Elephas maximus indicus: one gene and its partners. Each later gene encodes a partner of the first gene's protein in a complex. Links are inferred from orthologs where the notes say so. Each region holds a gene or a part of one and is shown in the gene's direction. Other genes may lie near its edges. The genes, in order: GNAO1, CHRM2 and GALR1.

Region 1 (3,742 bases):
ACAAAATATGAAATTTCAGGGGAAAAATATTTTCTTCTGGGTGGGCCTTAACTGCCTTCTTTCCCTGTTGCAAATGTATTTTTTGCTGGTTAACATTTCCAAAACTGGAGTTTTTTGGGGTTTTTTTTCCTATTGTTGAGTTTGCTTTCAGAGCCACAGAAATGCCCAACTGTTAGAAAAAACAGTTCCCACTGGCCACTCGTTCTTATTCCCACACAATCTTTCCTCTCGGACCCTTTCTCTAGAAGGGCCCCTGGGGCTGTCTGGTGGAACTAATTGTAAAACCATTTTGTGCAGTAAGAATTAACTGCTTCAAAGTCTCAGAGACCACCCAGAACAGGCCCAATCTTTGGCAAATTTGTACTTGTTTCCTTAATATTTGATTCATTGAGTTAACTGACCCAGGTTTCTGGGTCTTTATTTAAGATGGGAAAAAATGGCTCGAAAGATAAAAGAAGAAAATCTCTTCTTCTTTCACCAAAAATATTTAAAATGCATTTTGTGTTTGTGGCCGGGGCAGGACGAGAGATTTCGTGCACAGACCTCAACCAAGCTAAGTCATTCGAAATGTGCAAAAGCGTTTCAACTATGTTCAGGGAGCAAGCAGTTGCAAGCAGCTCACGCTTGCATTAGAATCTGTCCCTCTCCAAAGCTTCCCGAGTGTGGGAACTCTCCTGCCCTGGTGACGGCGGGAAACCCTGAGGCAAGGTCAGCGATGGCAAGGCGGGGAGGAGCCCCTGGAGAGCAGGCCCTGGCTTTTTTTCATCCTGCCGTGTGCTTCTCACAGCCTTGCCTCTCACATATTAGGTGCTCAATAAATGCTTGTGTAACGCAGAAAACGAAAAACCCAAATTTGCCCAGTGGCCTGGGCCGTTGACGCGAATCATCCGGAACGCAGGTTGATTCAGACCCACTACCTCCACCCGTTTACGGAGGTAACTGGCTGCTACGGCCTCAGCAGCCCAAGAGTAACCAAGAAGGCGAGCGGCTGGAGACAAGATGGAGAGGGAGCCGGAGAGAAAAAGAGGCCGCGCGGGGCGCTAGCTGGGGAGAGGCGGGTTAGGGGGGGCCCACCTGACCGCCGTGCCGGCGACCCAGCCCCGCGCTCCCATTGACAAGGAGGTCCGCGCAGTCCGCGCGCGGGGCGGGGGCGGGGCTCCCCGGAGCGCGCTCTCGGCCTCAGGCCCCGCCCCTGCCCGGCCGCGCACGCGCCCGCCCCGGGGGAGCCGCAGACCCGAAGGTGCTGGGGGAGGGGAGGCCGCGTCGCGCGCGCGCCGCCACGAACTGACGCGGGCCCGGTGCGCGCGCCTCCCCCCGCCGCCCTCCGTCGCAAGCCTTCCCAGTCCCGAGGGCCCAGCGCGAGGCCCTGCTGACGTCAGCGGGCGGCTCGCGGTGCTGGGTGCGCAGAGCCGCTGGCGCACTCGCGCGCTGCGCTCGCAGCCACCCCCCGTCGCTGCCTGGGCTCTGGCGCGCGCGCCCGCTCTCCCTTCATTTTTTCCCCTCCCTCCCTGCCTCTCTCTCTCTCTCTCTCCTTCCCCCGCGAGCTCCCGGCTGCCCGCGACTCCCTCGCGCTCTCCGTCTCTCTCTGGTAGGCTCCACCGAGCAATGAGAGCTCTGGGAGGCAGCGCCGCCGCCCCCTAGAGACCTGCCCCCGGCCCGGCCCCGTGCCCAGCCCTGCCCAGCGCGCGGGGGTCGGCGACGGCGCTGCGGACGCACCGACGGCGGAGGGCCGGCGATGCACATGCACTAGCGGCACCCCCTAACTCACTCCCTCCACACCCCGCGCCGCCGCCGCCGCCGCCTCCTCCTCCTCCGGCAGCAGCGGCAGAAGGACCCACCCTGCCCCCCACCACACCCTCCGCCGGCTCCGGCTGCGGCTCCAGCCTCGACTATTATTCTATTTATTTTGGGTGGTGCACAAGCCTCAGTGCCTGCAGCCCGCGCCTCCCTGGCCCGCGGCCGCCTCCTCCCTCGGCTCCGGAACCCCAGACCCCGACCACCCGCGTCTCAACACCTCCAGACCCCTGCCAGCTGCCTCGAGTCTCCGTTGCTGAAATTTGTTAGCGGCGGTCTTTTGGGGGAGTTCTGGTCTCCCGACATTTTTGTTTTCAGCCAAGGGGAGGATTTTTTTCCCCCTTTGAGCCAGGCTCTGCTCTCCGGGGGGGTGGGGGGCTCGTCGAGTCGGGGAGCCGTGCCAGCCGAGTCGTGCGGGCTGTGGCAGGGAAGGGGCCACCATGGGATGTACTCTGAGTGCAGAAGAGAGAGCCGCCCTCGAGCGGAGCAAGGCGATTGAGAAAAACCTCAAAGAGGATGGCATCAGCGCCGCCAAAGACGTGAAATTACTCCTGCTGGGTAAGGGCTACGTCTGCCACCCCCATTCCCCGACCCCGGCCACTCCGCACTTCCCTCAGCCACCTCCCCCACCCCACCCGCTCCCGGGGAGACCTGGTCCCCAAATGGGCACCACCATGTGCCCAGGGTCGCCGACCCCCAGCATGCCTTATCTCTACTCCCCCTGTTTCCTTAAGCTGACACTCACCAGTTTTCCCCCCTCCTGTCTGTGTCCCAACAGGGGCTGGAGAATCAGGAAAAAGCACGATTGTGAAGCAAATGAAGTAAGTCACTGTGGCATTGGGATTTGTACTTTTATTAAGAATAATTTTTAAAATCATTTTCATTACCTTGCTCATTCCACATTGCTCTCCAGGCCTGGTTTTTAATTCATGTATACACACACACACACCTCGATTTGGCTCCCCTCCCCGACACCCTACGTTGGTTCTGGGGTCCTCCACTCCAACTCCAGGGTGGGTGGGTTTTTTGTTTGTTTTTGTTTTTTTGAGGGGGGGAAGCGCCTGTAGTTATATGAATGACAGTGTCCGCCATATTGATCAGAACATCACACTATTGGCATGATTATGATATTACTCCTGCTCGTGGGGTGTTTCGTGTGTCTCTCTGCTCCATTTCAGTCTCTATCTCTGTTTCATTCTGTCTCTATTCCCCTTCCTCCTCCCCCCATCCCCCTCTCGTCCACAATCCCACTTTCCCCTGCTCTTCTCCTGGGGCACTGATTTTGAACTTGGCTAAAACATGGAGGGGACCCAGCCCTAGACTGGGGTGCAGGATCAAGTGTCTGCTGTTCTTGGATTTGGTGCTGAATTGGAGGCTGTACTTTCTGCCTCTTCCTCTCCACCGCCAAGGTTGAGGGTGGGGAAGGGGGCAGAGGACGAGAATTAGGGGAGGGGTCGTGTGTTGGGGGAAGGGAGTGAGTTTCCAAGCGGATGTGACTGGCACAGCTGTATCCAAGGCAGAGGTGGAAAGGGGACGCTGGTGTGAGGCTTAATGCCCGCCTCCTTGCTGCCCCCGGTCCCTCTCCGCCCCCACCCTCCCAGCGTTTGCTCTCCTGACGCCGGCAGTTTTCGATCACTCTGTGGCCTTTATCATTGTGTTTATTTACACTCTGCATAGGCCGTGTTCCGTGTAACCTACCCACAATGCGGATTTCAGGCCCCACTTGCCGCCGCCCCCTTTTGCCTTAGATATCAGTTTCCCCTCCTAATTAACTGGAGGTGGATTTGAGTGATGGTTGAAAATTAAAACAAAATGGGATATTGCTTCTCTTCTACACTTTCTCAATAAGGAGCCTCGCCCCTCCTTCCCACTCTCAGGCTGGCTTCTTGCCCACTCCACTTGGCAGTTCCTGGTGAGCTCTTGGGCAGCTCTGCTTGGGGAGGGGGTG
Region 2 (3,742 bases), on another chromosome or scaffold:
TTCGAAGAAGTACAGCCAGAATGCTCCTCAGAAGCAAAGATGGCAAGACTTTGTCTCTTATATTTTGGACATTCTAACAGGAGGGACCTGTCCCTGGAGAAGTTCTTCATTCTGGGTAAAGTAGAGGGTCGGCAAAGGAGAGGCAGGCTCTCAATGAGATGGACTGACACAGTGGCTGCAACAATGGGTTCAAGCATAGCAACGATTGTGAGGATGGCACAGGATGGGGCTGTGTTTAGTTCTGTTGTACACGGGATCACTATGAGTTGGAGCCGACTCGATGGCACCTGACAACAACAACAACATGCCTTTCGACACCTAACAGAGGAGTGGACATCCTTAACTTGATTTTCATCTCTGTGATCTAAAAGGTGATGTCCGTAATTCCGGGTTATTCCATTTAAGATTTCAACGCTTCTTGTTAAGTTGCAGAAAGTGGATGAGACAAATGCAGCCTGTAAAATATATCATATGTTGATATTAACTTCATACACACGCTTTCACAAATACAAGTCTTGTCATCAGCTATGTCAGGGAATCAGATTATTCTCTGATCATCACTGGAGAGCCTACTTAATCTAATGAGTTGATTAGATGCAATTTGTGAAACAATAATGGGGTTAATACCTAAAAATAATGGGTACTCTGCTGGAAGCAATTTCTCATTAAAATAAAGAAAGAAAACTTACAGCTGATTCAAACATTTTTATCCCCCCCCCCCACGAAGATCACAAATCCACCAAAACGCCATGAATACTGTGTAGTCTAATGCCTAACAGTTGAGGAAAACATGGATATTGACTCCTGTTAAAAAAAAAAAATGCCAATGTCCCTCCAAGAAACCAACAATCTATGAATAGTTTACCAGGATTATGTTTACAAAGCATAACGGATTCATTCTAACACCTGGAAAACCGGGCTCAAGTATCTTCAGCGATCAGAAATCAGCTTTGAGTTCTTGCCAATATGTTGTAATCTTTCTAAGCGATCATAAACTTGCAAGAATGGAGCTGGGCCAAGGGGGCGGGGTGGTGATTGTACAGGTTCTGATCTACATCCATTGCAGATGGAGAGCTGGGCTCGGGATGGACGTGGAGAGGAGCAGAAGGAAACCTGGAGAAAAGGCTGTCATATTTGCTCAGAAGCACCGTCAAATCAGAGAGCAGAGGAGATTTCATTGGAGGAGCGCCTTCAACAGCAACTAATCCTGTCATATTGAAAGAAAATTGTAAATGTTCTCTCCAGAAATTGTCCGCCCATTGCAGCTAATCGGACACACACGCACGAACACAGACGCGCTCTCCTGCCATACCAAAGGCGCCTGGGCACAGGGACCCATCGAGCGCGCGCGCGCACACACTCACACACACACACACGCATGCACACCAGTCTGCGGGTTGGCCAAAGCCCTGAAATCGCACATCCCGCTAGGACATAGCCAGAGGCACCCGGAGTAGGTGTTGCCCTCCGCACTAATCACTCCTTCCCCAAGCACTTTGGTGAAGAAATGAATCCTGCCCAGCTCGCAGGTCCACCCAGGTCTCGGTTCTCTTTCGCTCTCCCGACTCATCTTCTCCGTGAAAGCCAGGTTTGAAAGTCTGGTTTGCATCTCCTTTGGTGTTTGGTGTGGCGGGCGGGGGCAGCGTCCATTTCACTCCAGTCTCAACCGCCACCGGGTTCCAGACGCTCCAAGCGGCTGGGACTGGCGCGGGGAGCGCGACTCTGCCGGCGCGCGCCCGAGCCCGCAGCTCCTTACCAAGCCCGGGGCTGCTCTCCCGCCTCTCCCCGCCCCACCCCTCAGGGCGGCGCGGCACCAACTCATCTTTGCCTTTTCTCTTGCAAGAACCAGGGAGACAGCGAGCCGGCGGCGGGCTCCGGACTCTGAGCGGTGCGCAGCTCGCGCCCCAGCCAGTGGCCCAGAACCGGCGAAGGGCTCCGCTGGCGCAGCCTTCACCCGCAGATCGCAGCCAGAGCAGGTATGAGCCCGCGCCCCGTGCCCACGCAGCCCCAAGCCGCGCGGGGCCCTCCTGGAGCTGGGACCAGGGCGCAGAGGTGGAGCTGGGGGTTGGGGAGTGGTCCCCCTCGGTACAGACTCGTCAACGGAAACTTTGGCCCCGGGGCTGGGAGGGCAGATGGCAGCGAGCACCGGTCTGGGAGGAAGGGGCGCGGAGTTCTGTGGAACGTGGAGAAGGCAGAGGGGAGCCGGGGGCTGCGCCTGCACGGGCAGCGTGCCCTCTCCAGCCGCCATCCCTGCGCCCTCGCCCGCCCTCTCCCCTCAGATGCAGTCATGGAAAAGGCAAGCGGAGCTTCGCCTCTCCCGCCTAGAGCCCCTCCTGCTGGGGTTCTGGCCTCCTGTCCGTGCGCGTTGGTGGCTGCGGGGTAGCCCGGCTCCGCGCGGTCCCCGCCTCCGCCTCCGGAGAAGCCCTCTGGGCGGCCGCTCTGGGTCGCGGGACCGAGGCGCTGCAGCTGTGAACCGCCGCCAAAAGGAAAGGCGGGGGGGGGGGGTGAGACTGGGGAAAGGGTCCCAGAAACGGGGAGGGGGCCTTCTGGATCCCCATCCCACTTTGTCCCCGCGCACAAGGTCTCTGTCCGGCCAAGTCGGGGACAGGGTCTCCAGCTTTGCCACCCCGCCCACCCCTCACGACCGGCCCCGGCCACCTTGGTGGTGCTCCGGGTAGGAGTCAGGGCCGCTGGCCCCCGCTGGTTCCCGCCGTCAGCACCTGGGGCCTGGCGCCAGCCACTCACCTGTAGCACGGGGGCTGGCAAGGCGCCGGACCGACAGCAGGGACATCCCTCCTGCGCGCCTGCCGGGCCTGTGCGCCCCTGGGTGGGGGCGGCCCTGCTGGAGCGGTCGGCGGAAAATGCCCCGAGTTACCGACAATGAGGAACGCACCCCGCCACTCTCTCCAGCGCCCGCAACCCTATCTTCTTCCCTTGTGCCTGCCGCCATCCTCGAGACCTCTCTGAGCCAAAAATCGTCCAAGGCCGGGTGGCCAAGCCCGCCTGGCCCTGGCCGCGAGGTCTAGGCTCGGCGTGCCTGGAAACACCGGTGCGGCAGGCACTCAGACGGGAGGAGTGCAGAGAGATGGAGGCAGCGCCTCAGGCAGGTTGTCATCTCGCCCAAGCCGTCCCCGCCCCGTGTCCCTGTGTCACTTCACGGCCACGGCTGGGCCGAGACTGCGGCCGCCAGGGCTCCGAGTGCGCCCGCCCCAGCGCGCAGCCCCCGGACTGCTCCCCGGCCTCAAGCCCCAGAATCCCCCATCGACTTTCTATTTCCCCTACTTCTTTTCTGTTTTGTTTGTTTTGCTTTTCTTTCTCTTTTTCTTAGCGCTGGGTGGCACTGGTAGCCGTGTGGTTTCCCGTCCCCTATACATGCAGACAGCAACACCGGCGCACTTCCCCACATGCCGCCACACATCGCCGGCGCCCAGTGCACAAGCGGTCCCGCCCCGCCGCCCCGCAGAGGGTGGCCAGGAGGGTAGCCAGCCCGCACTGGGGAGAGGAACCCTGGGGCCATGGAAAAACCGGCGAGACACCCGGCTTTGGATTGGGGGGTGGAGGCAGGCTCCGGGGACGTGGCACACGGCGTTCTGGCTGTGAGGAGCCTTCAGGGCGCTGGGAGCTGCAGCGCCGCAGGCCACCGCCCCGCTCGGCTTGACCCCGGGCGGCACCTTTCTCTGCCGGCCCAGGGAAGTCCAGGTGCCAGGCACTGGGGAGACCGCTCTTCGCCCCATTCCGGCCA
Region 3 (3,742 bases), on another chromosome or scaffold:
AAAAAAAAAAAAAAGAAAAAAAAATTTTTTTCTTTTGGCATAGCCACGTCTTACTGCAGCGATACGATATGAAACATTTTGCAACTTTACAAATATTTCGTATGTCAGTACTTCTGTTTATGACACTTGGATGAGTAACATAAGGCAAAAATGATCTCAAGTTGAGTGAGGTCAACACGACTCATATCCCCTGACCTTCTCAGACACGTTTAAGAAGAAAATTCAAAAAAGGCCGTTCTGTTTTCCTCCTGGCCACGTGGGGGGTGGGGGTGGAGGTGCCTAGGCAGCAAATTTTACCAAACTCCAGGTGGCAGCGCCAAGCGCATTTTCGTTTTGCACGTGGACACAGCCAACCCTGGATTTCTTGGGGTTTATTCCTGGGACAGGAGGCGCTCTCACTGACCGCGACCCAGGAGGGAGGGAGAGAAGGAGCAGTCCTCAGAATGAAGAAGGCTGCGCACCCGCCGCCTCCGTGCGCCGAGAACGCCCAAGCACGTCCAGCTCCCAGCGCACTGGGCCAGTAACCGCATCAGGCGAGCAGCAGCCCCAGATGAACCCGGAGCTCCGCGCCTTGCAGAGAAGAGAGTGCGCGGCTGAGCCCAGCAGGGAGATAGGCGGTGACCCGTCCCATTAGGACGCGACCAGCCTCCTACCGAGCGTGGTGACTTCCCAGGGACGGGGGAGGCACCTAGCCGGCCGGAGTCCTCGCTCCCTCTCAGTTGCAACCAAGGAGCCCCTGCGCACAACACTGCCGACCAACCAGGAAAGCGTAGAAGCGCTCTCGCTCTGTGGACTCCTTCCAGCCCCCGCAAACATTGAGAGGGAAGGGGAGCCTGGAGGAGCTCCAGGAGTACCGCCACGCCGGAGCCCTCGCCATCGGCCGCAGCAAGCAGGGCGCTTGGAGCAACAGGTGCGGCCGGCAGCCACTCCCGGCGCTAGCGCACGCCGCCAGCCGGGAGTGGAGCTAGTAAGGCTGTGGGAGGGGCTCCACCAAGGCCACAGCCCGCGCGTCCCTACAGCGCGGATCCGTGGCGGCGCCGCGGGCGGACCGCCGGGATCGGGGCCCTGGCCGCCCCCATCCCCGGGATAGCCGCTAGCGCACCCGACTCCCGTCTCACCGGCGGCTGCACAGCTAACGCGGGGCCGCGCGGTGTCGTGCGCCTCGAGGGCAGCTCCGGCGCGGGTACGCGAGCCCAGCTCTGGGCTGGGACCGCCGGCGTCCTCACGCTCCCCGCGCCCCGGCGCCGGGGCAATGGAACTGGCGGACGGGAATGTCAGCGAGGGCAACGCTAGCGGGCCTGAGTCCGGCGGCCCCGAGCCGCTGCCTCTGCTGGGCATCGGCGTCGAGAACCTGGCCACGCTTGTGGTGTTCGGCCTCATCTTCGCGCTGGGCGTGCTGGGCAACAGCCTCGTGATTACCGTGCTGGCGCGCAGCAAGCCGGGCAAGCCGCGCAGCACCACCAACCTGTTCATCCTCAACCTGAGCATTGCCGACCTGGCCTACCTGCTCTTCTGCATCCCCTTCCAGGCCACTGTGTACGCGCTTCCCACCTGGGTGCTGGGCGCCTTCATCTGCAAGTTCACCCACTACTTCTTCACCGTCTCCATGCTGGTCAGCATCTTCACCCTGGCCGCGATGTCCGTGGACCGCTATGTGGCCATCGTGCACTCGCGGCGCTCCTCCTCGCTAAGGGTGTCCCGCAACGCGCTGGTGGGCGTCGCAGTCATCTGGGCGCTGTCCATCGCTATGGCCTCGCCCGTGGCCTACCACCAGCGCCTCTTCCACCGCGGCGCCGGCAACCAGACCTTCTGCTGGGAGCAGTGGCCCAATCAGCGCCACAAGAAGGCCTATGTGGTTTGCACCTTTGTCTTCGGGTACCTGCTGCCGCTGCTACTCATCTGCTTCTGCTATGCCAAGGTGGGCGGGCGGCGCGCGTGAGGGCCTGGGGCGTCCACTTTTGTTTTCTGGGCTCTTCTGTGTGGAGAGCCTTCTCCACTCAGTTTTGCCCTCGCCTCTGCTTGGGTTTGCCGCTAGCGATTGCACAAGAAAGTTATTTGGAGTTTGAGAAATGTTGGAGACAGTATGCCCTTCACTTCCCAGATGTCCCTAGACGGCTCTCGCCTCCCCTCTCGGTTCCTGCAGCCTTGGCAGGAGAGGCGAGCTCAGCGCTCCCACCCCGCCCCCCTCAACTGGTGAAGAGCCGGCTCTGCTTTCTAACTCTCTGCCCCAGATCATCCGCTCGAAGAAATGAGGGTTGGAGGGACCGTAGGGCGCGCGCGCGGTGGCATGGTGGAGGGGCTTGTGGTACAGTTGCGGTCCCCGCGGCGCGCAGGGTGTGCGCTTGCCAAGAGAGGTTTTGCGGACACCCGGCTCTGGGAAGCCGCTGCTCTCGGGGGCAGAGCCACGCAGTTTATTGTACACACAAGTTTAGCTTAGAAAACCGCAAGTCGTAAACCAGTATTTCTGCACTTAGTCTTGGCTGGAGTGTCCAGAGAGGTTTGGAAGGAAGGAAACTGGAGGCATTGTGTTTCCATTTGAGTCCTGTTAGAAAGGCTGTGTAAACAATATGAAGTGGTTCAGGTCCAAAACCGAAACCAAACCCGTTGCCGTCGAGTCGATTCCGACTCATAGCTACCCTGTAGGTCACAGTAGAACTGCCCCATAGAGTTTCCAAGGAGCGCCTGGAGGATTTGAACTGCCGACCTGTTGATTAGCAGCTGTAGCACTTAACCACTACACCACCAGGGTTAGGTTAGGGGGAGTCTAAATCTCGGACTCTAGAGAAACACTCCGGACGCCTACCTGATTTCACTTCTGGCCTCTTCCTCACTGGGCAGACTGTTCTTGCCCTCCCTGTGCAGAACCTGGCCAGCTCCCTAAACACACCTGCTCTTTCATGAACAACATAAGATTTTGAAGATTTCATACATAATACCATATGGTGGCGACTTATGGGTTACACCCTAATATCTCCCAAGGCATTGTTTTCAGAGTAGTATCACCATTAGAAAAACACCAACATTCCCACCAATTTAACTTCATCTCTTTGTCTCTGATTTTATTTCTGCTAAGGCTGTGGCTGTAGAACCCTGAATAAATAGAAGACAGTGGTAGCAACAACAGTAATTCTTATTTTTCCAGAAAAATGTTTAACATAAACCATCTGATATGGGGTTCCCCCTCCGTCATCAATATAGAGTTGTATCTATATTTTGAACGGGAATAATTTTGGATATAATCTGAAAGAATGACTACACCAAGGGATTATATATAAAGAAATACAGTGGAGATAGGGAATTTGGAAAATAACTCTCAGTTATCTGGAAAATGGCGGATCTATTTATTTTGTTGTTAGGAGCTGTCAGGTCAATTCCTACTCATAGCAAACTCGTGTGTCTACAGAGTAGAACTGCTCCGTAGGGTTTTCTAGGCTGTAATCTGTACAGGAGCAGATCACCAGGTCTTTCTCCCTCAAGCCCCTGGGTGGGTTCAAACTACCAACATTTTGGTTAGCATCTGACCACTTAGGTCTTCACCACCAAGGCTCCTTTCTATATTTAGTGTCCCGCAAATTTGAAACAAAGGCTGGTTCTACCTGTCTCACGCGTTATCTCACTAATCTGCAAAGCAACCCCACGGGTTGGAACTGTTGTCTCTATTTTATTGATAAGGGAACTGAGTTTGGAGGAGTGATGTGACTGACACCAGATTATGAAGCTGGTAGATGATTCCAGAAGGAAT

Evidence for each region.
Region 2: the proteins of GNAO1 (region 1) and CHRM2 are in contact, whole or in part, in a cryo-EM structure (PDB 7T8X), measured with the Homo sapiens proteins. The link is inferred for Elephas maximus indicus from reciprocal best matches to the Homo sapiens genes GNAO1 and CHRM2. Residues at the interface, in NP_066268.1 of Homo sapiens: Lys24, Ile28, Ala31, Lys32, Leu195, Tyr320, Asp337, Ala338, Thr340, Asp341, Ile343, Ala345, Asn347, Leu348, Gly350, Cys351, Gly352, Leu353, Tyr354; in NP_000730.1 of Homo sapiens: Asn58, Arg121, Cys124, Val125, Pro128, Leu129, Thr130, Pro132, Val133, Lys134, Thr136, Ile209, Ser213, Lys214, Ser215, Arg216, Ile217, Arg381, Lys384, Val385, Thr388, Ile389, Cys443.
Region 3: the proteins of GNAO1 (region 1) and GALR1 are in contact, whole or in part, in a cryo-EM structure (PDB 7XJJ), measured with the Homo sapiens proteins. The link is inferred for Elephas maximus indicus from reciprocal best matches to the Homo sapiens genes GNAO1 and GALR1. Residues at the interface, in NP_066268.1 of Homo sapiens: Ser264, Asn316, Glu318, Tyr320, Asp337, Asp341, Ile343, Ile344, Ala345, Asn347, Leu348, Arg349, Gly350, Cys351, Gly352, Leu353, Tyr354; in NP_001471.2 of Homo sapiens: Thr70, Arg133, Ala136, Ile137, Ser140, Arg141, His226, Leu227, Leu231, Asn233, Ser235, Lys236, Lys237, Ser238, Ala240, Ser241, Lys244, Thr245, Thr248, Leu306, Ser307, Glu308, Asn309.

What each region holds. Positions count from the first base shown.
Region 1 is NC_064839.1:23,239,114-23,242,855, forward strand, and holds the start of GNAO1 (guanine nucleotide-binding protein G(o) subunit alpha), read left to right. Parts: upstream 1-1,484; 5' UTR 1,485-2,234; coding exon 2,235-2,352; intron 2,353-2,572; coding exon 2,573-2,615; intron 2,616-3,742. UniProt on the Homo sapiens protein: Guanine nucleotide-binding proteins (G proteins) function as transducers downstream of G protein-coupled receptors (GPCRs) in numerous signaling cascades.
Region 2 is NC_064826.1:13,076,683-13,080,424, reverse strand, and holds the start of CHRM2 (muscarinic acetylcholine receptor M2), read left to right. Parts: upstream 1-1,494; 5' UTR 1,495-1,588; intron 1,589-1,843; 5' UTR 1,844-1,976; intron 1,977-3,742. UniProt on the Homo sapiens protein: The muscarinic acetylcholine receptor mediates various cellular responses, including inhibition of adenylate cyclase, breakdown of phosphoinositides and modulation of potassium channels through the action of G proteins.
Region 3 is NC_064829.1:84,371,165-84,374,906, forward strand, and holds the start of GALR1 (galanin receptor type 1), read left to right. Parts: upstream 1-1,252; coding exon 1,253-1,918; intron 1,919-3,742. UniProt on the Homo sapiens protein: Receptor for the hormone galanin. The activity of this receptor is mediated by G proteins that inhibit adenylate cyclase activity.